4 linked regions of the Daphnia pulex genome follow. The protein of the gene in region 1 interacts with the protein of each later gene in a pairwise test. Links are inferred from orthologs where the notes say so. Each region holds a gene or a part of one and is shown in the gene's direction. Other genes may lie near its edges. The genes, in order: huntingtin-like, WW domain-containing adapter protein with coiled-coil-like, cullin-5-like and dynactin subunit 2-like.

Region 1 (8,216 bases):
GTCAAGAGCGACAGAATCGAGCATGCTAAAGGGTTTCCATATCCGTTTGGTTTTGTCAATCTCTTTGAGGAAGAACCAGTGCCAGACGACGGGCTGGTAAGTGTGAGAGATGCCGTCAACGGCATCCGAAACTTCCGGGGCAGTTGTAGTCGAATCAACATCGACCAGCGAGGCGGAGGTCGGTTTCATTCCAATGGCAATGCATTCCGATTCACCTAAATAAACAAACGATACGGTTACTTCTTCATCCCACGATTGCATATGGCACTACAAGAATGTGTACAGAATAAAGAGAGGCTGCCACAAAGCACCGGAAAAGGCCAGCTGTTAAAAAAACAATGCGACAACAAAACCCCAAAATATTACAGAAAAGATACAGTAATGTTGTTTGGTGACAAATAAAATAAAGGGAGAGCAAATACTACAGTCCCCGTTTGAAATATATATTTCAGACGGGACCCTACAACTGAGCATTGCGCTATATGGCGTCGACATCCGGTGAACGTGCTGCAAGCTCTGCTGCCCGTGTCGCTCTTGTTTTCTTTTGTGGACCACCCGTGGTTCCGCTCCCTGTTGACTCAACGATAAACGAAGGGGGTTGTGCTGTGTGATTGCTTTTCCAAATGCGTCCGATTGCGATAGCGAGTTTATGGTAATTCTCCGCCGTATTTGAGTTGCATTGTTTTTCTTGGACGCTGCCACATCAGTTGAAAGGCCGACCAATCAGTCGGTTTGTTTGGTTTTGTCCGAGTAGATGTCGACGAAAAAAGAAAAACGACGCCCTCGCGACAATATATAACGTCCTGTAGTGATAAGGCCACCGAGGTAAGAGTCTATACCTCCCTTAGTCTCTCTCCCGCGTGTATATATATTCATTAGCAGCCCCAGATCGGGGCTCAGAGTACGCACGGACGTGGCATTTGAATCACACGAGTTGACTGGTGACTGACGAACGACCAATCGTCAACAAAATGAAACTCGTGATCGGTTTGGCGTTGGTTTCGCTAGCCTTCGGGTCGACTTTCTTCCCAACCGAAAAAGTAAGATTCACCTCAAGATGAAAGCGTTTAAAATTGGTTTTTATATAACGTTTTCCTATACAGGATGAAGTGGATTTAGTCTCGACGAGTCAAAACGATCAGGCGTCAGGTCGCATCGCCGTCCCGCCACCTAATAACCTCCGTAAGATCTTCTCAGACGTGTCTACTTATTTCATCCGCAATATAATCACGTCTTTATTGGCTTCAGCTCCGATTCGAAACGGCGGCATCGTCAACGCCGCACCGATTCTCAATCCTGTTGCATCGCCTATCGTCAACACGGGGACTGCGGGAGCACTTGTGGGCGGCGGGGCTTCACAGGTGTTTTTCTCGCCTGTCCGCATCAATATTGATCAGGCGTCGCAACTGTACGTGCCACCCGGAACAGATGGGCGCATTATAGTGCTGCTCAAAAACGACGGCGTAGGCGATTTCTTTCTCCTCAGCGGAGGCGACGACAAAAACTTTTTCATCCAATTCGACTACGCTCAGTATGTCATTCAATTTTGGGCAGACAGTGTTTTATAAAGACTGTCCACACCTGTTTTGGCTGACGATACTTCCGTTTCACTCTCACATCCTTCCTCCGTCCGTCACGTTACATCATTGTGTTTCGTCCAATCATCCGTTTAATTGTTCAATCTGACCCAATTCGACGCTTCTTGTTTTTACTTTGTACTTGGTCTAGTTCTATCTTTCCTTCTTTTCAAAATTGACACACAGGATACAATTGGGTCCGGGACAAACGCTAGCTGTTCCAGGAAGGATTCGAGTTCCCCATTATGCAAATAACGTTGTATCTACACTGACGATCATCGTGCAGCGGCGGACTGACAATGCTATCTCGCGGAGACAGGTTTATATTCGCACGAAATCAGAGGTAACAGTTCAGTTTTGTAGATTTTTGCGGAGAGAAACGGATTAAACTAAATTACATTTAAACATAATTTTTTAAGCCAGGAGAAAAATGGGCTCCTTGGTGCACAATCAGAACAGTGACTCGCTGCGACAGTTATCTGGATGAATCAATTTGCGCAAGTCGATATTGGAACATGAGAGCAGAGATTCAAGATACAGAAGCGGGTATTTAAAAATAAAGTTTTATACTGGGCTATTCTCGCTATAATCTGATTTCCCTGTTATTTGCTAGGGTTACTGTCCGTCAGCATCAAACCTGATGGGCGTTTTCTAGGGGAGGATTTCATAATTGGCACTAACGAATCGATTGCTGTAGAGCAAAGTGTTTCTTGCTGCACAACTGGAGTTGATATTACGGCAGTTGACGTTCGCGGAAATACAGCCACCTGTCGAGCCGATCAATGTAACTTGAAGAAAAAAAAAACTGACGCCTACCACGAATACCAATGCTCTATTGATCGAAACTGACGGATTTTTTTTTCTTGCAGATTCCATTTATCTTAGCTCTGGAGATGTAGCTGCCATCACTCTTGGAGTTATACTACTAATCCTGCTTCTAGTTATCATTATCCTGGCCATTTGTAGGTGCTGTAGACGGAGAAAGGAAAGATCAATAAAAACGGCACCAATTCCGAGGAGTAAAAAGGATCAAGCGTGACTAGCACGGTTCAGTCCCAAAAGGTCAAAGCCCAAAGATCTTTCAATTACTGTTACAACAGTTGGTGACAACTAGTAAAGGTGATTCAAAAGATGGGGCTGATTCGGATAACCACACTATGCAAATAGAAAGTAGGGACTGAACCAAACACAGGTGGTGGCTCACTTAATGTCTTAAGATATTGCATTAGGATTTAGAAAAAAGGACAAACATTTTTATGACAATGTTCACAGAGAAAGAGATATCCATGTTAAATTCAAACCAATGCATCTGTTTATAACAGAGCCATAAATTTTCCTTATTTTATTGAATAGTTTGTCTGCATGTATCACATAACTACTAGCAGCTAGTGTTTTCTATTATATTTCCTGTTCCCTGTTCATTCATTTGATTTTTTTCATATAAAACAAGGCTAGTTTGTGCGTAGTAATCCCATTTCAATGTTGAATGATTTAAAGTAATGCTTAAATAACTATTTTTGTTTCTGAGGTGATATATTTATCCCTCTCTGTTGAGTATAGTTAGTCGACTGGAAATTTTTCCTCATAACGGTTATTTTCTACGACTTTTACGTGGAACATTTATAACAATGAATCTATAAAATTTAACTTACTTGTGCTTTCCATCATTTTCGTTGGGTAAGAGTTTTGTACTGTTTTCTTTCACGAAATGAGTCACTATTTGACTCACGAGAGTCAAAGAATATATAGACTTTTACCCCCGTTGTCCGGCTGTCCTACAATTTTTTATTTCCTTCTGCTCTATATTTTGTTTACGAAATGAGAAGACGATGCCAGACTTTGAATAAAGATGTTTTTATCTGTTTTTTAAATTCCATTCCATTTTTGTTTTCATGTTCTGTGATTTTTTTGTAAGCATAGATTTATTTGAGAAATAATTATTAATAAGCTAACCGAATTTTGGTATCGAATGTATTTTTTCTACGCGAAACCTTTTCAAATACTAGAAACAATTTAACACTGAAACGTGGGATTGACAGCTGATCGTGAGTCTCAGAATACCGCGGAAGATTTCGTGTGTTGTTCGAGTTGTTGATGATGGCTTCTCTAGAAAGACTTATTAGAGCCCTTGAACAATTGCAGATTGTAGAAAATTCAAATTCTGATAACCATGTAAAGAAAAAAGAACTGAGAACACATCTACAAAACATTGTTGAATTTAACAATAGTCTTAACGTTCAAAACCACAAAGATTTTGTCTCGTACATCGGTCCGAGTATTGATTCCCTCATTAGACTGTGTGATTCCAAGGATTCTGACATTCGACTAGCAAGTGATGAAGGATTGTATAAAGTCATCAAGGTTTATCATCTGTTATTTTGTTAATTGGTTTCTGACAATTATTGAATTATTGTTATAATTTGGTTTATTTGTAGGCACTTCTTCCATTGCATAGTAACAGGATTCTAGTAGAATTATGCAAGCAGATAAAAAAAAGTGAATCTCCTCGTATATTGAAGTTGTCTATGACTAGATTTGCCGAACTTTGCCATCTAGCTCGGTATTTTTCATGTTTTGATTCCAACATTGAAACAATTCTAGTTAAATGTTGCACTTTTACAGGCCTCAGAAAAGACGTGCATACATAGCAAATCTTTTTAATGCCATATCAACAATTGCCAATCGCAAGGAAGAGATGCTTCATGAAAGCTTGTCTAATTTTGTTTGCAAAGTCTTTAATGTTATGGGAATATTTGCTTATGAAAATGAAACAAAGATTCTGTTAAAAGGATTTCTAGCAAATTTATCTTCTAGTTCTTCTATTATAAGAAGATGTGCAGCCAATGCCATCACAGTAATAATATCTACAAACAGAAAAAGTGATATTTTGTTGGCACTGGTTGTGGAATATTTAACAGGTATGCGCGTTGAGACTTTATAATGATTGCATTATTGTATTCTTGTTTGGTTTTTAGATCAAATCCTTTTGCCTGATGATATTTCCATGACAGATACACCAGTGATTATAGGAACTTTGCTAACTCTAAAATTGCTTCTTCCTCTTTTTCAATTATCATCTAATCAAACAAATGAAAATTTGAATACTAAACACCTGTCAGTTAGTCTTCCTAAAATCACTACCAGCTTGAACGCCGTGGCTTTAGAACGTATTGTTCAGGTATGTCACCTTAATTTTACTTTATCTTGATTTAAAATTAATTCGATACTTTTGGGCAGATATTTGAGCTTGGAGTTCACTATTCTTTCTCTTCGGATCATAATGTTGTTAACGCAGCGTTAGAACTCCTACAACAATTGCTGAAGATGCGGTCCCTTATCCTAGCGATTCCCTCCCTAAAAAGTGTAAATGGATTACAAGGGACTCGAATTTCTCTAAGAGGATTATCCAAAGAAAACAGTTAGCCTGATTCTTAAATCTCTTAAATTGTACCTATCTGATCTTCATCCGTGTTGTATATTTAGGTCAGTGGAACTTGACTGCGCTTCCAGTTGCGGAAGAGTCTCTTCTCTTGGAGGCGGAAGTTCATCTGGGCGAATTCGAAAAGACGAGCATGGATTCAACTGAAAGTGACGTAGAAATTGCAGAAGATTCGATTGCTGCACTTTCAGTCGACGAAAGAGAAGATTTTTCAAAAAGTTTGACTTTAAACGAAACCGATGTATTGGCTTCAGAGAAAGAACTGGAAGAAACTGATGTTGAGCCAGAAAACTGTGACGTCATTGATGCCCCACAGGTATAACGTGTGTTCGGATCGTTTTTTTTTTTCGTTATTTTCCTCACCTGAAATATGTGTTCTTTCAACGCAATTACAGGCAATCGACATAGGAACGCTGTATGATAAAACAGTATCCCCCCTTCTTTACTGCGCCCGCCATTTATCTTACAGTTTCTTGCTTTCCGAAAGAAAAGGCCAAATCAAGTCGGATCGATCTGTTCGTGTTTCAGTAAAAAGTCTAGCCCTCAATTGCTTGGCGCACATTGGATCACTGGAGCCTCTCATTTGGAATTCGCACTTATCAGACACAGGTGGTATTAAACATTAATGAAATGTTAAAACAAGTATTTAACTATTTTGCACGTTTTCCAAGTAAAGATGGGAAAATCGCGATAATTGATGTTCTCCAGTATAGCACACACGATGACCCACAATTAAGAGGGCAAGTGGCTCTGCTGGCGTGCATGGTGCTCAGCAATGTAATTGGTGGATTTGATTTAACCAGCGTTGAAAAAAGAACCCTCGTTCGCATCATTGATGAAACTCTAATTGATAAAGAGACAGCTGCTTCTCGCCTTGCTCTTCAAGGTCTACAGCACTTCCTACCTATGGCCTTAGAAGGCCCATTTTGCGTGGAAACTGTACCGCTTTTACGTTCATTGTTAAAACTCTCGGAAAATCCTTATTGGCTGGTAAGAGTAGATCTCTTAGAAGTGTTTGGTTCGTTTTCCTGGACAGCCTTGGAATTTGGGCTCCAGAATCAAACAAATTTCAAATTGCCGAAGTTCCAAGAGTGTTTCCTAAGTAAGTCCGACTAGTTTTATTATTTAAAATTGCTCTGAAATTTTTTGTTTATATTAATTATTGTTTCAACAGATAAATTTTTATTTACAATGATCGGCGACGAAGATCATCGAGTCCGAAGCGCGGTAGCAAATTGTCTTACTTGCTTGATGGAGTCATGGACTGTAGGAAGAAGTCCTTCAAATATTACTCGCGCTAAATGGTTGGCATCTGTCAGTGGTTCAACTCCACAAAAACTGCATGTAAAGACTTTTGCTGGTGTCCCCCTATCTATCAATGGATTGGCAGAAGCCTATTGGGATGTTTCATTGAACCAGAACGTCTCTGTCAACTTAGCTTATTTTGTCGATGAGATATTTCAACTACTTGTTTCTTCCAATTCAAAGTTTGTCAAGGTATTACAATTATTTACTAATAATGCACAAAATTTGAAAATAAAATTGTTGTTGTTCGATTTCAGATGGGCTGCCTGCAAAGTTTGTCTACCTTGAGCTGTTCTTATCCTCCCGCTACGTACTTGGAAGTTTACGGCTGTAGCTCAAAAGGAAATTGCAGTCTCTTGAAAGTATGCATGGCACTCCTGACAAACTCTACGTTGATGTTGGATCTAGTAACACACCAGACCCTAATCACACTTGCCACTCAGCTCTTTGCAGGTTTTTTTCTCATTTAATTTCTTTCTCATTAATTTCTTCTACATTCAATATTTCTTGGAATAGGATGTGTGAAAGCAGGTTTAAACGAACCCCAATTAGAGAAAGATTTTAAAGATTGGCGTTTTCTAAAGGGCCCTTCGTCTGCTACGGCGTCTTGCCTATTGGGTCATGCTACCCGTATATTAAATGCATTCTGCTGTGTTCTTGATGATGTCAATCCATTACTGGTTTCAATTAAAGTACCATTGGTGACGCTTCCAAACCCGTCCGCGTTAAGTCCAATACGTCGCAAACTTCGAAGCACTGAAAGTTTAATCTCAGATAAAGAAGATAAGTCAGATGAGTCCGGCCGTAAGAACAAACCACATTTGCTTAATCCAAGTAATGTCGGGTTTTTTGCTGCTCAACCTCTCTACGTGAAACTTTACGATTTACTGAAGAGTACGCACGCCACTTGCAAAGTATGTATTATTGGGGCTGTACATTTTTTTTTTGTATAGTAAATATTTATTTTCACAACTATAGCTGAATTTTGATACGATTACCTCGGAACGCTTGTCGAATTTTATCCAATCTACTTTGGAATTGCTAGCCGCTCTAATTGAAGTTTCCATTTTCCAAGATATTGGAAAACACAGCGAGGAGATTCTCAATTATTTACGCATCATTATTACAGCTGAACCAGTCTACTGTTTGCGCAACGTTCAACAGGTTGTATTTTTTTCTTTGTTAAAAAATAACCCTAATAGAATATTGATTTCAAAATTCTTTTGTGAATCAATCTTCAGTTACTTAAAGCGCTTTTTGGAGCCAATTTAGCAGCTGTCTGGTTTGACGAAGCAGCCCGATTTAAAAGAAGCGCAATTTCTTCAAGTTTGCAACCAACAGTGAAATGTGACGAGAGCATTTACTCGAGTTGTGGATTAGATGAATTATTGTATAACAGTGCTGGACGTCAAATGAATTTCAAGTAAGTTTTGTTAAAACATTTTATTTCTTCTCGTTTTCTATTTAAATTCATTTTTTAGCCGAAACAATGAAAGGCCAAATCTGATAACCAAATTTCGAACTTCTATAAACAAAATTGGCCCTGATAAAACTGCCTTGACTTCTTATATTCGCTTATTTGAGCCGATGGTCATCAAGGCCTTGAAGGTGAGTTTTAGCCATTCGCGTGTGTCCGTATTTCTACTAATAACATAAGTTTTTCATCAAAGTTGTACACCGTCACAAGCTGTCCACTAGTTCAAAAGCAAGTTTTGGATCTTCTTTGCGAATTGATCCATCTTTGCGTCAACTACTGCCTTCTCGATGCCGACCAGGTTTTTCTCAATTTTGTCATCCAACAGTTTGAGTTTCTAGAAGAAGGTTTCATACCGTAAGTGCTAGTTGATCTTTTTTTTATTGGTATTGATTTGACCATTTTCATTTTAATCTTTTAT
Region 2 (8,124 bases), about 3.2 Mb from region 1:
CCATAAACTGGATCGGTTTAGGCGAATCTAACAGGTATGCAATTCGTCATCACGTCGTTACGTTGGCAATGGGTCGAAAATTGGGCATAGAGTAGTCATTTTCCGGTTCATTGACATTCCCTCCGTGACACCAGAAATAAATTTGGCATTTTGATTCTACTGTCTAAAATCGGACAACCAGTTGATTACGTACAAGATGGAATTCAGACTCATTCCAGTCTTTCCTATTTTTCTATTTCTTTTTGCCAATTAGCTTTCTATTTTTTTTAGAATAAAATATGTAATAGTAATCGGATGGATTCCACTTAAATTTTCGCCACCAACACCCAAGGAAGGCCAGGATTTTCATCCTTTATTGTAGGACAATGTTTGTAATTGCACAAACAGTGCGCAAATTCGTGCCAAAAAGAAGTAATAAAACATGATTTTATTTATTTATGAATATAATCATATTCGTAATCATATACTGTTTTTAACCATTAATCTCTATCAAACTAAAATCTCGATTACACGACTTCTGCAGTTAAAAATTCTTTTTCAAATGGCGCCACTCGAATCGACATCTAGTAGACAAATAAGTGACTATGCCACTATCAATATCAGTGCCAATCGTCGTCTGCTTTGCACTTGATTTGTTTCTCAAATAATCGTGGTTAAGGTAATTTTTTAAAAAATAAGGCAGAATCATGTCTGTCATTGAATCCACTACCAGGCTCATAAATCTGCAAAGTAAGTCTTGAATAAGAATCATTTTTATTCTTGTTGTTAAAATGCTACATGTTCTAATTTATTGTAATTTGTAGGACTGTTGAAGCCCTGGATACCTACGACGACTGCAATTAGATGGAGAACAAGAAAACCAAATATCCAAGTAATATTGTGCACTTGATTTTGTATTTCCATTAGATTTTACTAACATGACCTTATTACTCACAACAGAGACCTATTCCAGATCATTATGTCAAAGCAAGATTCAAAGCTGCCCTTGAGCCCATATACCCAGATCCCCAGATGGACAAACCATGGTTCGAAAAGTGTGGCAATATTTGGCAAACTAAAGAAAAGGAAGAGGTAACAAAGTTTTACTTTTTAAGTCACATCAGCATTTCCATTAATATTATTTGTATTCAGACTTCCAAGTATGAGGAACTTTTGGCCAAAGAGTTTTATAAGAAATTCGCCGAATCACAGCTGATTGCTGTTTTTCATGAAAATTCCTCTAAAGCATATGAGCTAATTAAGGTTAGAATATTTATTTATTTTATTTTCTGCATTTTGTTGAATACCAATACACTAATACTTCTAATATCTAGATTAAACAAATGATACATGGTCACAACATGAAAATGGTCTTTGGAAGTAGAAAAATTGCCACTTTGGCTCTGGCTGGAACAGAGTTTGAGCCTGTTCTAAGATTACATGAAGGGAAAACTGCCTATTTGTGCAGTAAAGACCTTCATGTACCTAAACTTCTTAAATTTGTCAAGAAAATGAATCACTTGGTTCTTTTAGGTAAGCACAAATTTGACTAAGGTGTGTTGATGTAGTCTAATATTTCTTTCTCATTTTAGCTGGTGTAGTCCAAGGCAGGTTAATCACCAAAAGTCAGCTGCAATGGGTTGCCACTTTACCAGATATAAACATGCTGCGTGCTGAGCTCTGTTCAATCCTGTCCTCACACACAATTCAATTGAGCCAATCCCTGACATATCAACAGCAGCAATTAACACAGTCTCTGGAACAGCTTGTAAAAAAAGATAGTGAAACATCTACTGATGGAAGTGAAACATCTGCTGATGGAACAAGCTAAAAAAGTGTATTGCAGATACATTAGAGAAGATTAATACAGTGTTTAAAAAACTTGCCTGATTTTAAAACATCTATTCAATTGGAAGCTACCCACCCTAACCCCCCAAAAATACAGTTATGTATTTTTTTATCAGCCATTTTTCTCTTATTTCATTAAAATTTTTTTAGTTTTCAAACTATGTTCTAAATGGCATTAGTACAAAATTGCCATACAAAGAATAGCAAAGTTATACTAGATTTTTAAATGGCAGTTGTCAAAGAAAGGAAAATTATCCATGGCCTTGAATAATGACTTACTAAGCTAGCATTTGAGAAGGGCAAGATTCTGTATACAATGTTTATGAGATTTCTACACAATTCAATCAATGTGTGTGCACTGTGCAGGATCAGTCACATCAGTAACTTTTACTAAAATAGAAAAATACAATAAGAATAAATAAAAATGAACTCAAAGGTGGTTTTACTTAATTATCCTACGCACGGTGCAACACGGGGGAATAAAATGTTTCAAATATTCTTAAATTACGAGTTTCTCCTAACTTCAACATCCTACAATCTTTTGACAGATCGACAACACTACTACTAGTATTGGTATTGGGTATTTCCCTAAAAATGTGACGTTTCCACTTACACTACACATCGAGAGTGAGTAGACAACTACTGTCTAATAAGAGATGACATTGATATAGAAGACCGATAGAGAGCAAAAATTGCAAAATAGCGCACATGAACATTTGCACATCCAAGTTTTAATTAGTGAATGTGACAATGCTGTGTAAAAAGATATCGCCCTCTGGAGGACTGTTTATAGTAAAGTGGCAATGCTGTGTCTTGAGTGAGGGAGCCCGGATGTTATATGGCGTCTGGCCTTTTTGGAAACACTTAAACTTAAATTTCGTAAACTCGTTTCGTAGAAGAAAGAGCTGTTTCAGCTCTAAATCTAATCTCTTGTAGATCATTGCATTGATGGTAATGCATGCTAGAAAACTACCAAGACTGGATGATGGGTAAGATTTTTTTTTTGTACAATGTAGCCGAGTTCCCAAGTAAAACAAAATTCGTGACAGTTGATTCCGCCATATTTGTTGTAACTTATTTTGTTTTTATTGACGTTTTTTTTTTATTTTCGTTTCAGGTATTTCGATAAACATCAGTCCCACCCTTACCAGGTAAAGTACTGGTAAAATGAAGTAAACTTTTAAACTGAGAAAAGATGATTCGTAAACAATCAGAAACACTTTAGTGAACATCATAGTTTATAGTAGTCAAATTGAATTTTCTTTAATATTCTTTTTCTATCTTATAGAATTAACAAGTTTTATAAGTTGTTTACTATGAGATTCAGAATCCTCAATGAATATTCTTTTGAAAAATCATTATGTTGTTATTCTGTGTTCTCAATGCCATTTGGTAAACAATGGTAGCCAAACCTACAAGTAAATGACTTATCCTTCTTTCTTCTTGGTTTGAATGTTAAGTAAGGATTCTCTGTCTAGTTTTAGTGAACTTCTCGAAAGTAATTTATGGGATTCATCTTTATTTGATTGGCTAGGAAATTTTTTCTCTAACCACATCTGTAAACAAAGGGCACTCAAAGCAAATGACAGCTACATTGGACAATACAGTAGTGATATATTTGTTACAACCATACTTGGTTTAGGAAGTGTTTCAGTTGTAGAAGTGCAGATTTCTCATTGTTTATATCAAATTTTTATTTTGTTATTGTTACATTATTAATCATTGTTTTTTCTGTTATGACAGGCTAGTACCAAGTATAGTAATTCCAAAGGAAACTATGATCGATACAATGATCGAACACGCGACTCGCCTAACGGGACAGGGCTACGTTCTGATAGCCCCAACTCTTTTGGTGATAGCCCCAGAGACAGAAGCTATGTGCACAAAGGATCTTATACGCAACGGATACGGGATAAGGAGAGAGACAGAGACAATCGGTCTCCTCGTGAAAGAGAGCGACCAAGAGACTCAGATAGACGCAATAACCACGATCGAGGATCCACAGAGGAAAAGCCTCAACGAGTCGGTGATTGGACAGAACACGTCAGCTCGTCGGGAAAGAAATATTACTACAATTGTAAAACGGAAGTCTCTCAGTGGGAGAAACCTCGCGACTGGGTTGATTGGGAGAAGGAAAAGGAACATGAGCGCGACAGAGAGCGCTACAGACGTGATAGGGATCGTGATCGCGAACGAAAGTACGACCGGCAATCCTATTCGTCGTCTCGTAACAGTAGTAGTGGCCCGTCTGAAAGACATTCCAATTTTAGTCGTTCTGGTACTATGTCGAATAGTAACAACAATAGCAGTGGCAGTAGTAGCAATGTGGCATCATCTCGTTCAACGGAGAATCGAGATAATCATAGAACTCATCAGCCTCCGCCATCGGTGCCGGAACAGCCGCAGTCCAGAAGACACAGCTACGGTATGTTGTATAATGAATGAACAAAACTAGTTAAACTCTTACCGAACTTGGTAACTTATCATGTTGGCTTATTATCTAGTATGCAATCTGGTGTTTCAAACCTTTTTAACGTTGATTTCCATTCGGTCAAAGTGTTGCAATTGTTGAACAAGGTTAATTGTCTCGTTTAGAACGACCTAGCCAAGATATGGACATTTCCCCGGCGGATAGCACGCCGACTTCCGAGGCCTCCGGACCAAAAGTCGCCACACCTTACACGCCTGACCCACGGTTAACTCCGACCGCTGGTTCTGCTGCACCTGTTTCATTAGCTACTGCTCTGCCACGTCTACTGTCTCATCCACCGACCAGCACTCCAATTCAACTCATAAGACCCTCCTCTCAAACTCCAAATGCCTCGACAAGGTAATTTGTTGTCTTCGTCAGCTTGTGCTGATCAAAGAATTCGATGTTGTTAGATGAGAAGGATTACCTTGTTATTTGTCTTCGCTTTGATTCTAGTCGGGCTCCTAGTTTGATGTCGCCGTTACAGGCTGGCTCCTCCATGCCGACGACGACGTCGACTGCTACAACGACCAGTCTATCATCCCTCCAACAGCTTTTAACCCAGTTAACTCGATCATCTGTCTCAGGAACTGCCATCAATCCTGCGATACAGTCTATGCTTACGGCTACTCTCGGAAGAATGGGGAATATCACTGCTCTAGGTAATTTATGAAACGGTGTGGGAAAGTTTGTATTGAATGTGAATTGACGTTTCGAAATTTTTGTTCATCAAGGTTCGCTACAAAATTTGGAACACATGGAGCTTCCAGCACACGAAGTCTTGCAGTCCTTGCAGACGCTGCTCTCTTCTTCACAGATTGCTGTTCCCGCCTCGAATGTGGCGACACTACCAAAGAACATGAATTCGTTAGGAGTATCTTCTTCACACCTAACGGACGGTTGTCATGGTCTTTCCGCTCCGACGCCCCTGGAAGGTGATCCTGCCAACGGACCTCCTACGCCAACTCATTCGGAAAGACTTGAAGCAGATTTTCGTCGAGGTAATTCGACTATCCGATCCGACCTTGTTTGTAAGGAAGAGTATTTTTTTTAATTTTTAAATTTATTATTTTGGTCGGCTTCTGTTAAAAAGTAATTTAACGGTCGTAATCAGTTCTAATTTTTTTTTAAATTGCTAATTAGGGAGCCCAGCGACAAGTTTAAGTTCCCTCTCGGCGGCAGCGGCAAGTTTACGGCCATCTGCTGCATCCAGCCATGCTTTAACACCTTCACTAGCCTCCCATTATAGACCGGATTTGATTTCTCACGTGACCGGATGGCCCGCGGAGCTGTTAGAAAAACAGGTAAATATCTAAAAGCAAAGCAAACCTTTAAATTTTGTGTGTGTGTGTGTATTTTTAATGTTTCAATTTTCAATCAAAGGCGACGAAAGTGAGCGAAGATCTGCACACCATTGGCAATCTTCATGTAACTAAAGTATCGGCTGAACTGAAGATGGCGCGGTCTTTGGTCCGAGTAGCTGATATTCAAGCCACTCTGCAGGAGCAACGGTACGTGCAACGATTTTCTTTCATTTTAAGTTAATCCTGACCCTAACTGAAATTATTTCGTTTGGGAAAGCAGGATTCTCTTCTTAAGACAACAGATGAAGGAGTTGGAGGAATTAAAGCCGCCCAATCATTTTATGTCGGACTAAATTTTTTCTCTGCTGGAGGAAAAAATAGCTAGCTCGATTTTCTTTCGTCTTAAAACCAGAATAATATTTTTTTTTTTACTCTCGCGGAACCGTTTTGTATTTCCTCGGTGAAAACTTTTTTCTCTTTCTATCGATTCTTTCGGGGCGAAGTAACACATCAAAAGCCGGCCGTTGAAGGCACGTGTGTGCTGCGTTGAATGCATTGCGACTCAGAAGGATGTTGGTATCTCATCAGTAAGATAACAAAAGACGAGCCTGTCAGTGACAGAAGCTGTATTTATTCTCATGTAATTCTGTAGTTTCTACTGGTCGGGTCCGTAAACAAAAACAACAAAAAAAAAAGATTTAATTGCCAATTTTTCCATTCGCTCCGAATTAGTTTTGTTGTCTTGGCCTACTCCCTCGTTTGTATTGTTTCCCACCCGATTTCTTTCTTTTTTTGTCTGTGACGCAGTTTATAATTTTCCTCCCTTTTCTGTATAAAATTTTCGCCCTTCCTGGAGAAAAAAACATATTTCGTCCGCTTATTTCGACGTTGAAGTGTGATGTTCGTGTCGCCCTTATTGGGTGTTTAAAAAAAGAAGTGGAAAAGAACAAGACTATCTGCTCTTAAACAAAGTTGATTTTCGTATCAATTTTATTTCTGGGCTGGTTTTGAGCCCAATATTTTTGTTTTAAGTGATGCTGCAGCCTATGGCTATCATTCTGTTGGTTGCAATTTTCAATTCTGCATTCTCGATGGATTTTTCTGTGTCTTATCATTTATCATTCGTCGACTTTACTCCCTTTACAAGTCCAATCCGACTCGTACCAAGCCAAGAATAAAGAACACACCAAGAAAACAGTGCATCTCAGCTACCGGCTCTAACCCCGCGAAACAATTAAAGAAGGATCTGGGGTCGATTGCGTGATTCTCTACAACTTCTCCTGCCTGTCCTATTCCCCCCCTTCCTTCGGATGTTCCTGCGGTGCTGCCTCCCTGTTTCCACTTCTTATAAATAAGTTAAGTGCGTCTTCGCCAACTCGATTTAAGTCTCAAAAGCAGAAGTTGCGTATTTTAAACCGAGGGTGACGAATGGAGATCCTGCACGACCTGTGTATTGTATCGTTGATATGTTATCGAATTAATTTTTTTTTTTTATTATTATTTTTAAATATTTTTTTCTATCCTTTTTTATTCTGATAATTTTTAAGGAATACTGCGTTATTACGACCAGTACGAATCCCGTTTTGTTTAAACTGGCTCTATCCTCTGTCGCCCTTGATTTATTTTTCGGGGGTTCGTGTTAATTGAGCGAAAGAGAGCGTTACTTCTTTTTATACTCGAGTGACAATATACAGACGCCCATGCAGAAAAGTATTTCTAGCAATATGATTCACCCTTGTCAACGGCTTTTATAGATCGAAGCGTTAAAAGGATAGGCAACTGAATCTTTGACAGTCTCAGGCGTGAAATTTATTTTGCTCCTCCTTTTCCTTGTTTTCAACCAAAGTGGACAGTTGGAAACCGCTAAATTTCGTGAGGTAAGATGTTGGGAAACTTTTCAGTAGGGTAGTACTTAATGCAGCTTTTATTTTTATTTTTTTCTAACGAATGTAATATGAGAGAAAGTAACGGCATTCTCAACGTGCGCTCCGGAAGCTAAAAATGACAAATTCCACAATGGGAAGTTGAAACATTTCGAAGCGCACTGGTTTGTTTAAACTGGGTACAAAAATGACAGATTTCTAATGTTACAAGTTTAATCAAGAATTTGGAATAACCCGTTTGCATGTTGGTTACTTTCGATTGCATAGATCTACTACTGAAAGAAAGGGAAAATGTCGAACAACTTCATCAAGCATCCTACCGTAAGCCAGCGGCGCTACCTTTACAATTACTTTTACAAATCTGGCCGGGGCTTTGCTCTTTTAGTCTTTTCGTTTCAAATCCCACTTATCTAAATCCAGGAGAAAAACGCACGAATATGTAGGACAATCGGAGTACTGGTCGTAACTCAATTCCGCGTTCTCCAATTACTGTGAAGGGGGAAAACAAAATAATAGTAATCTCAAATTTAAGAAATGGACTGGAGAAAGTTTTTCGACGAACATTTATTTTTTTTCCCAGTGCCTTTTTGTTGTTCGGCACGCTCAGTTTTTATTCATCCATAAAACAATGAATGAAAGA
Region 3 (7,978 bases), on another chromosome or scaffold:
TTGTTCATAATCTCCAGACTCTGATCTTGGTTCTGATCGCTCTTGATCCTGTTGGGGCAATGTTGACAAATCAACATCAAAAATTGTGTTATTAATTGACATTATTATATGAAATATGTGAGTCAGCGGTTTCATGCAACATTTTTTTGTTTGTATTACTAGTCCACCATGAAGGGTACACAGATAGAGGAAGCTTCCATTTATTTTTATAAACGCTGTGTGGGCAGTGTCATAGACAAAGGAAAGTTTTAGAGCAAATGTTTTAAATGACTTCCTTCACCAACGAAGCATTGATAAAAGTAATACGCCATGGTCTGGGCTTGGAAATTCTAGAAAGTTTAAGTAGGTCTTCCTACACACATGTACGGCCATCCACTTTCACCCAGAATAAAACAAGATCATCGCTGAGCAGTATAGAAAAAGCCACTCACCAACATTGTTAAAAAGAATGGACACAATTAAGAAACATTGGAACAAGAGGAAAAGATGGAGAGAAAAATTTTTGAAGAATAATCAACACTTTACCATAATGTCAATCTATTTTTGGGGTAGTCCAACTCTTCGAATAATTTTAAGAAATAGGGTAGGGTGTGAGCTTTGTTTCTGACGAGCAAAGTAACGAGAACAGTGGGATCATCGCGAAAGGTGGCCTGTGTGCAGCTTGCAAATAAAAAGACGCAAAGTCCCACTGTAATAAACTCCCCGATGGACGTTCTCATTCTCTTAAGGAAGCGAGCTGCCACGTTGACGCCACGAGTAAGAATGAAGTCGGGACTAGGACTCAAATGTTTCTCAAGGGTAGAGTGCACGAAATACGATCTATGTCTGATAAGGAATTTTACATCTGCTGCAACGATTTCCCCCCTCCGTCCACGTTTAGAAAAACTTTTTGACGCACCCCTCGAGACTGTCGACAACAGAAGACGGGAGTCTGGGACGATTTGTTTAGAAACAAAGAGTCCGCGCAATTTCTAATCATTCCGTCGTGTGAGCTTTTCCCCCATTTATACAACACGATATCAAGTGAAAGCAGCGGTTTACACGACTCTTACTCGACCAAGTTTAATTTTTGAAATTTATTAACTCTTGATCGTGAGTTTTCCCGATTTTGAATATATCAGAAATATCCACAAGATGATGTAGGAATGTTATAGAAATCGGAAACGAACTCTAGCGCCGTTTCTGTGCGACTTCTGCTGGCTTATGTGAACACATAGCGTAACACACACATATTAAAAAAGCCGGACGCTGACCGGGGCATCTGTCTCTGAGGAGAATATAAAAGAAAAAGAGAAATCTAAACATTGGAAAAGCTTCTCTAGTTCTCTTTACACGGTTCCAGCGTTTTCTGGAAAATTTGATGCGGGGGGTGGGAAAATCAAATAAGAGATAATTCGATTTTAAAAAAAATGCATTTCTCAAATAGTAGATTCCGATTTATTTAAGCGAAAACAAAAATTTTTGTTTATGACATGCGAGACGGGTGGATGATTCGACATGGTACGTTCTTGATTACAAAAATTTGCGGTTACATTCGTACTGGGCAATTCTGACTGCTCTTGGAAAGCCAGACATTATACAAGATTGACGCAATTCTTCTTTATAAGGTTTTTAAAAAAAAATGGAGAACGAGGCTTGAATACGGACGAAAATATCTTCAATGCTCATTTGCATTTTTGCTTTTAGCGATTGTCGAATAATGAAAACAAAATAGTCCGCGTAGTTTTATAGGATCTTGATAAGAACATCAGCAGCAGAAAAATTTAACTCTTCTGATGTAGTACTCATCGGCGTTTTCTTTTGATATGTAATGTTAACATTTTTGTTTTGGAAATCATTTTTGTAAGGTCATATCGAGATTAAGCCTTGGAAAGAGGAAAAACAACTATTTATAGAGATTGAGTAGCCTGCAGCAAGCAATTGAAAGGGAGTGCGGAAATTGACTGTTTTGTTTGCGTACTATCAAAGCAGCTTGTGATCAAAGTAACCTTGATACGTGCGTATAATAATAATGTTGAATGCCACATCAATTATCACATTCACTACCAGTTGCAGTTTAATTATAAGCTGTAGCCGGTCCTGCAAGTATACTTGGCCAAATGCGTCTCACGTACGCTTTTATCATGAGTAAACGAGGAAATAACGTGAAGTGGAAGAACAGACGGGGATAGCCTGGGAACTGGGATAGTAGCCATAACATATTAATGTAGCATTGACGCAACAGCCATGATGAGCTGCCCACCATCTACTGGTTGCAAGAGTACTTACTAAATGTTGGATAAATATGAGAGACACATTTTAGCCACAGATAAATTCCTCGATCCATCCGGATAGATGATAGATAAGACTCAGATCTCAACGAAATTAATATAAATTCGAAATCTTTAACTACGAGACATAATAAAAAGTCAGCGACAAAATTTTTACTAATTAGTTTTAAATACTTGTGTCGCTTATGTTCTTGATTCACTAGTCAGTGGTCGTTACCACACAAATAGATGAAGAATCAAACAAAGCAATAAATCCAAGCCCGTTTCTATGCGCTCATTGGCGCTCGTTAAAAAATCAAAATTCAAAAAGGTCATGGCAGATGTCGTGGCAAGACGGGGCTTCAGTCCGGTATTCCGATTAACCGGTTAACTTCGACAGCCTACTGGTAGAGTGTGTGTGTGAGCCGATGTTAAGAACAGGAGCACTGAAAAACGGCTAGACCATCAAGAAATAGAAATGGCAGCATCAATGTGGAAGGTAAATAAAGAACTAGTAAATGTTTTTATTTGTTATGAGAAAGAAATATCAAGTCTTTAGATTATGCACTTGCAAGTAGTGTCATGATTCATAACCTCATCAACAAATTCGTCGATCGAAATATATCGCATCAACATTAACCAATTAAAATATGTTTTCTTACTTTTAAGGATAAAGGACAATTGGTATTTGAAGAACAATGGCCTCTTATGAGACCAACAATTTTGAAACTGTTACGTCAAGAGCCTGTTAGTCGAGCTGAATGGCATGAACTGTTTTGGTCTGTACACATGGTGTGTTTGTGGGATGAAAAATCACATGCCAAAATGTACAAGGCATTGCAGGATGATATTCTGGAATTCATCAAGCAAGCACAGACAGTAAGTTACATATTCCTGTTGCAATCGGTGTAAATGATTAAAATAATTGAGATGCATCTATTAATCCTCTTTGTTTATATCAGAGAGTACTAACTCATGAAGAAGACCAGTCACTGTTGAGGGCTTACATCAGTGAATGGCGTAAATTTTTTACCCAGTGCTCATATTTGCCCATGCCTTTCTTCCAGCTTGAAACTGCACTTCAAGGTAAAACACACAACTCAATACAGAAAAAGCCCCAGCAAAACACTGATGACAGTCTAGTCAGAAAGGTAAACAATAAATACATTTTTAATGAATAACTTGTTTTTTGATAAATATTTTGTTTCTGTGTTTTAGCTAATGTTGGATTCCTGGAACTTTAGTATTTTCTCCAACATTAAAAACCGATTACAAGACTCAGCAATGAAATTAGTCCATGCTGAAAGAAATGGAGAAGCCTTTGACTCACAGTTGGTCATTGGAGTGAGAGAGTCCTATGGTAAAACATTTCTATGGCAAGATATTGTTTCAACTGCTTAATATTTACTTACTTCCTGCAGTTAACCTTTGTTCAAATTCTGAAGATAAGTTGACCATTTATATGGATAACTTTGAGAGGGCTTATATAGATTCCACCGAAGCTTTTTACAAGTTGAAAGCTCCTCAATATTTGGAAATCAATGGTGTTCAGAATTACATGAGATACGCAGAATCGAAACTACGCGAAGAGGAGCAGCGAGCCAATAAATATCTAGAATCGTGTTCCATTGCTACTGTACTAATGGCTTTTTATTACTTATTTTAAGATTTGGTTATAATTTTTTTAAATCTTTCTTTCAAGCTTAACGGATGTTGCGTAAATGTCTTGGTGACAGCCTTCAAGGAAACCATTCTAGCTGAATGTTCTTCTATGATTAAGCAAGACGAAACTCAAAGTATGTTTACCACATTTAATATTGAAAATTTACAGTGTCGTAGGTGGAGTTTGAGTAACATTTAAATTTTTAATCACAGAATTGCGTATGATGTTCCGGTTGATGGATCGAGTCTCCGATGGAATTGCACCTATGCTAAAATATTTAGAAGATCACATTATTCACGCAGGATTGGCGGATATGATGGTGGCAGCTGAATTAATTACTCAAGTACATTGATAGACTAGTGTTAATGTCTTCATGACTCATTCATAATTTTTTAATGCTATTGGTAGGATTCTGAAAAATATGTGGAACGACTTTTGACACTGTTCAATCAGTTTAGCCTCTTGGTTAAGGAAGCTTTCGACGATGACCCGCGGTTCCTTACTGCTCGTGATAAAGCTTATAAACATGTTGTGAATGATACTTCAGTCTTTCGATTAGATTTACCCACTCGATTGGTAATTTCCTGTTTCTGTTTACCTTTGCTTTATGCCAAAAAAATTTTTCCGTTGACATTAAACTAACACTTTAAAATTAAAATTGTGTTTTCAGCAAGGACCTGGCTCCAGTGGAGGAGTCAAAACCCAACCTGAATCTCGTTGCCCAGAGCTGCTAGCTAATTTCTGTGACATGCTTCTGCGTAAGACACCTTTAAGCAAAAAACTCACTTCCGATGAAATTGAAAGCAAACTAAAGGATGTGGTAAGATAAAAAAAAGTTGGTGTTGTCACGCTAGCATAGTAATGTTTTCGTTTGATTAAATAATTATTCATATGCTTCATTTGTTGCCATTTAGCTACTTGTTCTGAAATACGTTCAAAACAAAGATGTGTTCATGCGGTTCCACAAAGCGCATTTAACTAGAAGATTGATCTTGGACACCTCAGCTGACAGCGAAAAAGAAGAAAACATGGTTGAATGGTACACTAACTAATTTTTACGTTCATTTTGCATTTTTTACAATTATTTTCATGAAAAAGGTTGAGAGAAGTTGGCATGCCAGCCGACTATGTTCACAAGCTTGCCCGTATGTTCCAAGATATCAAGATCAGCGAAGACTTGAATCAACAATTCAAAGAGGAATATAGGAAGACCAAAGGAAGCATTGCTGGTAATACCTCATAGAAAGGGCGCATAAGTTAACATAAAGATTAATTTTTTTAAACGATTACCAGACTCGATTAACATTAAAATCCTGAATGCTGGAGCTTGGGCTCGTGGATCTGACCGAGTGACAGTGTCGTTGCCGTTGGAGTTAGAAGACTACATACCAGAAGTGGAAGATTTCTACAGGAAAAAGCATAGTGGACGAAAACTTCAGTGGCATCATCATATGTCAAATGGAACTGTGAGTCTTCCTTATAATTTATAAATTATTTAAAATTCTTCACATCCAGATCTTTGGAAGAAATAATCAATCACCGAATATGTGATTATCGTTACTTAATACCGAGTGCAGCCGATTCTAAACCTTGTATTTCATTTTAGATTCAGTTTGCCAATTCAGTTGGAAGATTTGATCTGGATGTTACAACATTTCAAATGGCTGTCCTATTTGCGTGGAACGAACGACCGAAAGAAAAAATTTCTCTTGAAAACTTGCGTTTAGCAACTGAGTTGCCTGATGCGGAACTTCGACGAACTCTTGGGGTATACAAATGTTTTAAAATTGTTTACAAATGTTTAGAATTGGAATAATTATTCACATTTGATTTTATGGAATGACATGGTTTTTCAGTCTTTGGTGGCTTTTCCAAAACTGAAACGACAGTTGTTAATATGCCAACCGGAAGTCCAATCCGCAAGAGATTTCACTGAAAACTCTATTTTTTCTGTCAATCAAGACTTCAGTCTAATGTACGTCTTTTTTTAAATCGTAGTTTATATTAATTAAAAAATTAAATCTATATGTTTCAATCGCAGAAAAAATGGAAAAGTTCAAAAGCGGGGTAAGATTAATTTAATTGGTCGTCTCCAGCTGTCTACCGAGAAAAGTAAAGAAGAAGAAAACGAAGGCATTGTACAGTTGCGCATTTTGCGCACTCAGGTATAAAAGAATTTCAACAAAATTTAGTATCGTTAACCTTATAAATTTGGTCATTTACGTTTTCAGGAGGCTATAGTCAAAATTCTGAAAATGAGGAAACAGATTAGCAATGCCCAGTTGCAAACTGAGCTTGTTGAAATTTTGAAGAATCTTTTCATCCCCTCGAAGAAAATGATAAAAGAACAAGTGGAGTGGCTGATAGAACATCGTTACATGAAACGTTCTGAAAAGGATATTAATACCTTTATTTATCTAGCCTAATAATAACAATATTACTGAAACTGTACAGTTGAATCTAATTAAGTTTCATATGTACATCTTTCTTCTCTTTTGCAATTTCTCTTAACTCCTTACTTATTCCTTGGTCAAGCCAAAATCCTGTCGTGTAAATATTTTCGATAAAAATAAAATTGCGATCGGCGATGTCATGATGCAGTGTAATCGCGTTGACGGAACAATTCAGATCTTCACAATTTTATAGCACTGACAGTTTTAAAGACGCTACGAATGTATTCACGATAAATTCATTATAACCAACAGAAGGGAAAGAGGATGTTAAAGAGAAACAGGTAATGAAGGAATGAGTGACAACTTTCATCTGGTATAACCACAAGTTAGTTAGGTCGGATCTTGCCTGGTACATAGTTCTTATCAATCACTGGCTCTTGGAGAAACATATGGAGGCAGCGTTCATTCTGTGCTAGCGGATGTCCTGCAATTCTGTAAATTATTTGAGTAAGTTTAGGTTGTGATGCTTGAATGTTAATATAGAAACACACTTGTTCACAAATCCTTCAAGAGATTTACGCCTGTCTTCAATGAATTCTTCATCATAGATACCATCATCATTTCTAAATGGGAGCTGGCGTTTGATTGCTTTTCCAGGTAGAGGTGGAACCACAATCTGAAAAAAAAAATTTGAACCGGTATTAAAATCCATAATCTCTTCCTTATGTCAAGATTCATACTTTGCTGTCTCTCTCAAGCTCACTTCTTAACCACTCAAAGTCTGAGTACCTTCGCCTCACACTGGACTCTTTGATCTTAAAAACAGGCAAATTTGTCTGGGAAAAATAATGGTCAACATTGATTACACACAACTTTAACAACATTGCAAAAGAAAAAAGGCACGTCATTCAATTCATGACATTTAGCAAAATGCAAATTGCACTTACCCTCATTCGGACTTCATAATCCGTGTATCGTTTTTTTGCAACACCGTGAGTAATAGGATTTATTACGTCGATTTCCAAAAAATTGGCAGGGGCGGCATATGCGTCGTCCAAAGTTTGCTTTTTGGTATGCAATCGTCTAGTTGCTTCTGTGTTATCCATAATCTACAAAGAAAATCTCTTCATGTTATTTCGTTCTTTTACAATGTGCTGAAAAATAGACGTATCAATAGTAGAACCTACAGATTTCAAACGGTAAGACGAGTTCCGTTCTGCAGAGAAAAAAAACACCTCCCACACTCAGGAACTTATGTTAACCATTAAACGTCAAACAACTCTTACGACAGACGAGTGAACTCAGTGAAGCCCCACACAAGTCGTGAAAAAAAAATTGTGCAATTCAAATATTTTGAAAGAACAAAACAAATAGTTTTTAATATTTACTAATATATTTAGGGTGTTAAATTTTTAGATAACCAATGCTTAAGGACTTCAAGCCCAAGGACTATTTTCTTTTTTTTTTTTTTTTTAAGTTTGTTAGGGCGTTAATTCCCATAATCAGAGTGTGGCAACTCAGCCTACTGTCATTTGAAACTGAACAAAACGTAGTTTCAAGTTTTGTTTGATGGTGTGAACAGGTAGATTGGGGTAGAACTTCATTTTACACCTGTCATAGACATTTAATCGTGAACGTTTGCCGAATATTTTTTCTCGACATCGTAATCCTAA
Region 4 (7,766 bases), on another chromosome or scaffold:
TTGAGGTAAATTATTATTGGAATACTTCCTTGAATAATCCTTAAACATTTATCTTTGAATTTCTGGCTCTTTCAGGTACCATGGATGGTTTGCGCAAAGAAAGGAAGAAGCTTTACTGGAATAGCCGCTTGATGTAAAAATAAATAAGCTTCTAATAAGCCCAAAGTAATAAAAAATTGAAACAGTCGATAATTTCCCTAGTTAATTTCCAAGAATTACTCACTTTTAGGAACAGCTAGTTGTGAAAACAATGATGTCCAAAGCAACAGTGAATCCTGGAAGAAACGATTGGTTCGGTGCAATGCGTTACGATCCCGAATTTCTCAAAGAATGTTTGAGAATCACACAACAGATCTCGGTGATTCGAATAAATCAACACAATCGAATCCACTTAATGTTTTCGCCAAATAAAATGTCATTGAACAATCAAATGTGTAAAATGAATGTTCTGACATAGTAAGGAGATGTAGCTGTTTTTTTTTTTTTTTTTTTTCCTTTTTACAAAAACTAGGAAGCCGCTGCTATTTTACGTTGTTCAATCACAGGAATCCGAGTTTCTGATTGGTCCCTAGGTTTCTTGGCTTATTTCGGTATTTCGTCTGCTTCACGCCAATGCAGACTACAAGTCTACAACACTCACGAACCAGTGCAAAGGACCTGACAGGCTGACACAGGAGATAAATAATTGAAAGTCATGTTGTGATAATGATAGCTTGGGCCGTTTCTTAAATCAACTAGTTTATCAGAAATTGGTGAAGGATCAAAACTCGCAATGGAACCAACGGTTGAACGAGGACTGATTTTTAAAGAAGAAATTCAAATTCCAACACTTTGGGGATACCTTGCAGGTGGTTATATAAGAATAGAAGTGTTTTAGGGAGAAGAACTGTTAAGTACTTTTATTAGAAACTTGAAAACACTATCATTGTATTTATTTTAACTAAGCCAAGGTATGGGGGCCTGATGATGGTGTTCCTGTTTTGGCACTTCATGGATGGCAGGATAATGCAGGAACGTTTGACACTCTTGCTCCTCTGCTTCCATCGAATATCAGACTAGTTTGCCTTGATTTTTGTGGTAACAATAACTAAATATTAATAATTGTTTCATCTGTCGTGTATTGAGATTTTCTCATTTAATTAGGTCATGGTCTTTCGTCACATTACCCACCAGGAATGTTTCTCAACTATTATGATCATGTCTATCATGTAAAACTAGTGATAGATTATTTCAAGTGGAAAAAAGTAAACATTTTGGGACACAGGTATTAACTTAATTGGACATTGAAGTTAAACAATTCTTTAATCAAATTCTTTTTATTTATTGGAATATAGCATGGGAGCAATTACTGCCATTTTCTTTGTTTCCATGTACTCAGAATTAGTGGATAAGCTCATCAGCCTTGATGCAGTCAAACAACTTTCATCCTCTGCTGAATACCTACCTGCTCGTATGAAGGGTGTTTTAACCAATTTTCAAGAAATTGTTGAAAGACTCCAACAGGGACCCTTATCATCTGTGTCTTACGAGGATGCTCGCGAAAGAGTTGTCAAGAATTACGGTGGATCCATTGACGAGAAAGATGCTGATGTCCTTCTTAAGCGCGGTTTGCGTAAATTAAGTGACGAAGATGAATATGAATTCACTCGCGATTTGCGCTCTACCGTTCGTCCGTATCTTTTTAATGACTTTACTACTGAACAGCTAAAAGCAGTGGCTCGTGCTATCGTATGTCCGTTTTTGCTTATAAAAGCTAAAAACACTTCAACGTTTGAACCAAAAGAATTGTATCGGGAGTTTTACGATATCTACCGCGATGCCAGCGAAGATTTTCGTTACGTAGAAGTTGAAGGTAGACACCACGTCCATCTATCTCATCCAGAGTTGGTTGCTCCCATAATTAGTAATTTTCTGTTTCCTGTGAAATCTAAACTCTAATTCGGGTTTGAATTTGTGCCACACAAATTAAACAAAACCGCCCATAGGTTGTTAAATACAGGTTGTTTGCAATGAGTTATATTCGCAACCCTTCTGCGCTCTAATTTTTCTACTTACAGGTACATTAGTTACGTCGTAATGACAAATTTAAAAGTCTACGTTATTATTAAGTCGAATTATTTTACATATAAATTTCTATTCCTCTGACTAACTTGGATTTTTTTATGACGTCAGTGCTCTATGGTGAGGGGGATAATTTTGAGACATAGATTACAATCATTGTTTGAGATAACGAAATGATGTAATACGTTGGATTTTAGATATCATCTTTCTATGTGATGAATTGAACATGAACAGCATCGAAGAGTGCAACACTGCAACTAGGCTAGAGCGGATATTTTATTTATTTTTGGAAAGGGTTTCAAGACAGTCAAGAAATACAAGATGCGATACTATATGGAATTATCTGTTATTTCATTTAATTCATCAATATTCATCATTGCATCGCGCAGGAATGCAGTGTGATACTGACGGCTGACGGTTTTTCGATTTAAAAAAAAAAGTAGACGGGTTCTTTCGGATTTGTGGTTTCTTTTCCTTAGTGCTGATTGCGGCCCACAGAGGCGCTGAAAAACACCCAATTTCTTATTATGACTCAGAAGTGGCAGATGGAAAGGTAGGGCGTTGGACTCTGCTGTTTATCAAAGTAAATTATTTGTCAATTTTCTGTGACAACTCCAGACGACAGGTGTTCCTAAAATTGTTTAAAATGGCTGATCCCAAATACGCCGCACTGCCTGGAATCGTAATCAGTTATAATCAAATCACGTGTTTTTATTGCTAAAGATGTTATTTTCGTCTAATAGGCGTATGACCAACCTGATTATTATGAGTCTGAAGACGTGTCTGAGTCATTCTCCAACCTTAATAACCAAGTAAACCAGACTATTACATGCCTAAAAATTAGATTCTGGTAATATTATCACATAACAATGTAGGATCAGAGTGATTGTGTTGAAAAGCTCAATACAAATGTCACAGAGTCTTATGCAAAATTTCAAGGGCACTGGTTGTCATCTCAGAAAGCAGATTTCTCGGGAAAGATTGGTGTAAAACACAATGCTGGTTATACTTCTTGGTTGGTACAATAGATTTCTTTTTAGTCTTGGTTTACACATTTGTAATTATATCCTAGGAATGGACCATATGAGTTGCAAGCAGAAGGTGAAAAAGAATCTCCTATTGAAAAGCTAAACCGTCTCAAGTGTGAAGTTGTGGAACTCCAACAAGAAGTTCAACAATCTGTAATATTCTTTAAACTCTAAACTGTGTATTGTAAATGAGCTGTTGATTATTTAGGTTACTGGATCTGAAGAATCAGGGGATCCTAGCAACTTAGCCATGCAAGTTGCATTTCTTCAGAAACAACTAATGGAAATTAAAATAGATGAAGTTGGCTTCCCTAAACCAGAGCTTTCTACAAAAAGGTTACAGATTATTAATAAATGTGTAAACCCCTTTATTTAAATGATTTTAATTACAGAAAAATTTTTGAGGATCTGGAAACTGTTGGAAAAACAGCAGGTGATGATCAGGGCAAACTTTCTACAACTGACCCATCCAAGATTGTTTACCAGTTGCAGTTTAAACCACAACAGATTAAGCTAGATCTTGCTTCCAAAGAAGCCAATATGCTACAGAGACTGGAAAAACTGGAAAGTTTATTTGGGGTCCCTGATAAGATGGTAACCTTTTGTTAAACTTCTTTTCATTATTTTGAAGTGAAACCACTGATGTTTAATTTTTACTTTTAGAATCAGCTTTGTGCGGAAACTGGGCAAAAATGTGTGAGTGATGCTGTTAGATCAATATGTTCCAAGGTAGCTCTTTTAGAACCAGCTCACCTAGACCAGGTAATTGCACTAATTATTGAGTATTTTTTAGTTATGTACCAGTGACAAATTGACAGCCATATAAATATTTGTTGACCATTAGGTTGAAGGTCGTCTTGCTGTCTTGATGTCTAAACTTAATGGCATAGCCAAGGAACATGGACCCATTGAAGACAGCAATGTATCAAGAATGGTATGTAATTTTATCGATTGATCAGTGATTATAATAAAAATTTTTACATTGCTATTGGTAGGTTAAAGAACTGTATGAAGTTGTGAAGCAGCTAGAGCCTTTGATATCTCTATTACCTTCAGTTGTTGATCGTTTGTCTTCTTTGAAAGTGCTCCATGATGGCGGTAACTATTTAAAACAAACATATTTGATGGTTAGTTTTAATTTCATTTAAAAATTATTTATTTCATAGCTGTCAACTTTTCCCAAACTATCGGCCAAGTCGAAAGTATGCAATCCAACTTAGATCTGGCAATCCAAAATCAACTTCAGCTATTAACGGATATCCAAGAAGGATTGTCTACAAATGTCCAAGCAATGAAAGCTTCTATTCAAAAATTAGATGATAAACTGTCACGCAAGTGAAGTTGTTGTCTTATTTACCTAATCTCTTATCTATAATTTGATTCAACTTATTGTCAAAAATTTACCATAAAATGAATGATTACCAAAGTGTGATGTATTTTTATTAGTGCGATGTGTTAACTCAGACACTTTAAAACAGGAGTACAGGCTACGCTTTCCCGTCAAACAGTTTCAAAAGACAGTTGGATTTCGTTGCCATCGGTTATTTGTAAATTGCAACCGTACAGTACGGTTACAATTAGAGTACGGTCCGTACTCTACGCGTAAGTATATACGTAGGTATCTCTTATAATTGCCACTAGAACTTAGCTCACTAGCCGCAGTTTTTATCACCTGACTCTGGGGAATCCTCACTCATACTCGAGGTAACTTTGCAGTCAACATGTGTGAGGAATTTTAGATTCGTTACATTTTTTTTGCATATCTTCGCTGTGATTTTTTGCATGCAAATCAACCTGCAGACAGGTTGGCCAGTTTGTCCAGATAGGATGTCCTTCTCGCTTGAAGGTCGCGGGAAACATTACGTGTAAAACTATCAATGCGGTGGTGTAGAGGTTGGGTGAGAATAACAGTGTTTCGTCATTATCAAAGCAGGGTCAATAGCCGCAAGGGTAAGCTATTTGGTATTCATTTTGATTTTTGTAGACCCATCCCCAGCAACGTCAACCTAAAGAAGGAAAGGCGAGTTTGCATTTCCTTCACTCTCGAAGGTCACGGAGATCATTACGTAAAACTGGCATGCGGTGGTGTAGAGGTTGGGTGAGAATAACACGTGTTTCGTCATTATCAAAGCAGGTACAAAAGCCGCAAAGGTAAACTATTTGGTATTCATTTTGATTTTGGTTTTTGTAGACCCATCCCCAGCAACGTCACCTGCAAAAGGAAAGGCCAGTTTGCATTTCAATCGAAGGTCATGGAGATCTTTACGTAAAACGTGTCATGCAGTGGTGTAGAGGTTGGGCGAGAACGGGACATTTTACATCATTATCAAGAAGGTAAAATAACCGCAAGGCTTAAGAGGAGGGGTGAGAAAAAGTCGTATAAAAGGAGAGAGAAAAATCGACAGGGATCAGTCGAGCGAGTACCTCCGACACGGTAAGAGCTGCAGTGCGCTATTTGCCATCAGCTGCATTCTTCATCGTATTATCAGTTCTCAATCATAGGTAAATTTTCTGTTGTTACATGGAGTCATGTATCAATTTCTATTGCGTTTTCTCTTTGTTAATATGCCAGTTATTTTTGCGCATTAATATTTAAATTATTCAATGTCTAGTCGTGTATAGGGGCAAAGAAAAGGCGATAGAAATCAGTCGAGTGAACATCTCCGATATGCAAGAGCAGCAGTGCACCATTTGTCACCAGCTGCATTCTTCTTCGCGTTACCAGTTTTAATCATGGGTAGATATTCTGTTTCTAACCTGTAGTTTTTAACGTTGTTAATCATTCCACTTTTTTCTATATGTTGATATCCCAGTACTATAATTAAATATTAAAGTTAAATTTTTTTAAAGTTTCTAGTTAATTATGGCGCCGTGCTGTTACCAGTTACTAGTCGTTACTCGTTACCAACTGTGCTCTTCTTTACATTTATACACTTTACACACTTATCTTTACCAACTGCATTCTTCATCGCATTGCCAGTTTGATATCATGGGTAAACATTTTTACATGGAGTTGTGAATCAAATTTCTATGTGTTAACATGCCAGTTATAATTTCATATTAATGTTCAAATTTTTAATTGTCTAGTAAACTATGGCGTCGTGCTGCTGTTGGGTCTTGTATCGTTGATGGCTGGTTCAGCCACTGGTGTAGCGATGTCTCCTGGGTATGGCGGATAACAAATCGCAACGCCGCCACTATTACACAACATACGACACGACCAGTTGCTACACCAAGGCCTTTAAGTATTGCACCAAGGCTCCAGGTTAATATATAACAACTTATGCAGCCCTGAGCTACTACACCGAATCCCCGCAGTATTTTTCTTCCCCGAGCTACACTACCAAAGGGTCGATTACTACACGGATGCTCCAAAGTACTACACCACCAAAGCACCGTAGTACTACACAACCACATATCATGGGTAAATATTCTGTTAAGTGGAGTTTTATTATGCCAAGAACAAAATATACAAATTATTCATTGCCTAGTAGTATGAGAGGAGAGAAAAGGTGAAATAATTCAGCAGCCGAGTGAACATCTCCGTCACAGCAACAGGAACTGCCGTGCACTTTTTGTCATCAACTTCATTCTTCGTCGTATCACAAGTTTTAAATGAAGGTAAAATTTCCCCATAGGGTACTGAATCAACTATACTTTATTTCTATTTGTTAATAAACCAGTACCATAATAGGAAATTAAATGTTAAAATTTATTAATTGTCTAGGGAACTATGGCGTCGTGCTGCTGTTGGGTGTCGTATCGTCGATGGCTGGATCGACCACTGGTGTGCCGATTTCTCCTGGGTGCGGCGGACTTCAACAACAACATACGCAACAACCGGATGCTACACTGAGGCCCCCAAGTGCTACACCACCAAGGCTTCAGAGTATTAAACCGTAACTGATGCCACCCCAGTTTATGTTGGCCCGAGCTACTACGCAGAATCTCCGAAGTATTTTTCTTCCCCGAACTTCACTACCTTCACTATACCGCCTCCTTACCAAACAACAACGTCAACACCTACATACTAACGAAGGGAGCGGAGTACTACACCACGCAGGGAGCGGAGTACTACACCACGCAGGGAGAGGAGTACTACACCACGCAGGGAGTGGAGTACTACACCAAGGCTCCAGTTTACTTCACTACAACCCACGCTGCTCCAGAGTACTGCACTGATGTTCCAAAGGACTACACCACCAAAGGCATCCGAATATTACATCACTACTTTCGTTACTACCAAATCCTACACCGAAGCTCCCAAAGCACTTCTTTGCCCCGAGTTACTACACCACTAACGCAGCCGAATAACACCCCAAACTACGATTCCGCAATTTTCTACATGGAAATTCCTTATTATTAGAGCCGAAATTTCTACTCGGGGTTATTTATATGTATCGGTTATTTTCATGGTGATTGGTCGCTGGGAATCAATTGTTGATCTTAAATGAGAAAAAAAAGGTTTAATACGGGTATGTTTTTGTAAGACTTGGTTAGTAACTTCAAGCCTGTTAACATTGCTACAGGTGTCTTTTGTGTTGGATTTCTTCAAGGCCAGTATGCTTGCTGAGTTATAAATTATTTTATGTTAGACTACTGCCTTAGTTACACTCATTGTTCTTGTGGCTTGACGATGACTTTAAGGGCGAAATAAGAAAGAAACTTGTAACCGTT

The links.
Region 2: the proteins of huntingtin-like (region 1) and WW domain-containing adapter protein with coiled-coil-like interact in binary tests that used the Homo sapiens proteins (3 or more experiments, as listed by UniProt). The link is inferred for Daphnia pulex from reciprocal best matches to the Homo sapiens genes HTT and WAC.
Region 3: the proteins of huntingtin-like (region 1) and cullin-5-like interact in binary tests that used the Homo sapiens proteins (3 or more experiments, as listed by UniProt). The link is inferred for Daphnia pulex from reciprocal best matches to the Homo sapiens genes HTT and CUL5.
Region 4: the proteins of huntingtin-like (region 1) and dynactin subunit 2-like interact in binary tests that used the Homo sapiens proteins (3 or more experiments, as listed by UniProt). The link is inferred for Daphnia pulex from reciprocal best matches to the Homo sapiens genes HTT and DCTN2.

Annotation. Positions count from the first base shown.
Region 1 is NC_060020.1:1,037,097-1,045,312, forward strand, and holds the start of huntingtin-like, read left to right. Parts: upstream 1-3,606; 5' UTR 3,607-3,671; coding exon 3,672-3,938; intron 3,939-4,012; coding exon 4,013-4,137; intron 4,138-4,199; coding exon 4,200-4,495; intron 4,496-4,552; coding exon 4,553-4,755; intron 4,756-4,814; coding exon 4,815-4,995; intron 4,996-5,060; coding exon 5,061-5,332; intron 5,333-5,411; coding exon 5,412-5,625; intron 5,626-5,692; coding exon 5,693-6,118; intron 6,119-6,190; coding exon 6,191-6,513; intron 6,514-6,578; coding exon 6,579-6,774; intron 6,775-6,837; coding exon 6,838-7,235; intron 7,236-7,299; coding exon 7,300-7,485; intron 7,486-7,562; coding exon 7,563-7,744; intron 7,745-7,802; coding exon 7,803-7,929; intron 7,930-7,991; coding exon 7,992-8,152; intron 8,153-8,216. Other genes in the region: SEC23-interacting protein-like, read right to left, coding at 1-215, 3,230-3,245; uncharacterized protein LOC124192637, read left to right, coding at 972-1,040, 1,104-1,531, 1,764-1,920, 1,997-2,123, 2,191-2,361, 2,447-2,616.
Region 2 is NC_060020.1:4,241,210-4,249,333, forward strand, and holds WW domain-containing adapter protein with coiled-coil-like, read left to right. Parts: upstream 1-2,589; 5' UTR 2,590-2,775; coding exon 2,776-2,816; intron 2,817-2,944; coding exon 2,945-2,978; intron 2,979-3,570; coding exon 3,571-4,252; intron 4,253-4,422; coding exon 4,423-4,657; intron 4,658-4,753; coding exon 4,754-4,959; intron 4,960-5,031; coding exon 5,032-5,328; intron 5,329-5,440; coding exon 5,441-5,601; intron 5,602-5,680; coding exon 5,681-5,808; intron 5,809-5,881; coding exon 5,882-5,954; 3' UTR 5,955-6,537; downstream 6,538-8,124. Other genes in the region: 39S ribosomal protein L10, mitochondrial-like, read left to right, coding at 687-729, 804-871, 940-1,071, 1,132-1,242, 1,314-1,512, 1,572-1,810.
Region 3 is NC_060021.1:665,418-673,395, reverse strand, and holds cullin-5-like, read left to right. Parts: upstream 1-2,593; 5' UTR 2,594-2,727; coding exon 2,728-2,748; intron 2,749-2,918; coding exon 2,919-3,128; intron 3,129-3,211; coding exon 3,212-3,400; intron 3,401-3,467; coding exon 3,468-3,609; intron 3,610-3,670; coding exon 3,671-3,885; intron 3,886-3,951; coding exon 3,952-4,045; intron 4,046-4,124; coding exon 4,125-4,255; intron 4,256-4,320; coding exon 4,321-4,488; intron 4,489-4,582; coding exon 4,583-4,732; intron 4,733-4,826; coding exon 4,827-4,951; intron 4,952-5,010; coding exon 5,011-5,141; intron 5,142-5,205; coding exon 5,206-5,378; intron 5,379-5,518; coding exon 5,519-5,680; intron 5,681-5,768; coding exon 5,769-5,887; intron 5,888-5,953; coding exon 5,954-6,077; intron 6,078-6,143; coding exon 6,144-6,338; 3' UTR 6,339-6,505; downstream 6,506-7,978. Other genes in the region: glycosyltransferase 25 family member-like, read right to left, coding at 1-48, 526-719; sorting nexin-12-like, read right to left, coding at 6,692-6,797, 6,857-6,981, 7,046-7,141, 7,253-7,411. UniProt on the Homo sapiens protein: Core component of multiple cullin-5-RING E3 ubiquitin-protein ligase complexes (ECS complexes, also named CRL5 complexes), which mediate the ubiquitination and subsequent proteasomal degradation of target proteins.
Region 4 is NC_060027.1:506,709-514,474, forward strand, and holds dynactin subunit 2-like, read left to right. Parts: upstream 1-2,582; 5' UTR 2,583-2,707; coding exon 2,708-2,743; intron 2,744-2,804; coding exon 2,805-2,873; intron 2,874-2,936; coding exon 2,937-3,076; intron 3,077-3,133; coding exon 3,134-3,242; intron 3,243-3,297; coding exon 3,298-3,425; intron 3,426-3,481; coding exon 3,482-3,683; intron 3,684-3,752; coding exon 3,753-3,851; intron 3,852-3,933; coding exon 3,934-4,023; intron 4,024-4,084; coding exon 4,085-4,187; intron 4,188-4,255; coding exon 4,256-4,428; 3' UTR 4,429-4,515; downstream 4,516-7,766. Other genes in the region: probable serine hydrolase, read left to right, coding at 773-848, 946-1,077, 1,144-1,264, 1,335-1,938. UniProt on the Homo sapiens protein: Part of the dynactin complex that activates the molecular motor dynein for ultra-processive transport along microtubules. In the dynactin soulder domain, binds the ACTR1A filament and acts as a molecular ruler to determine the length.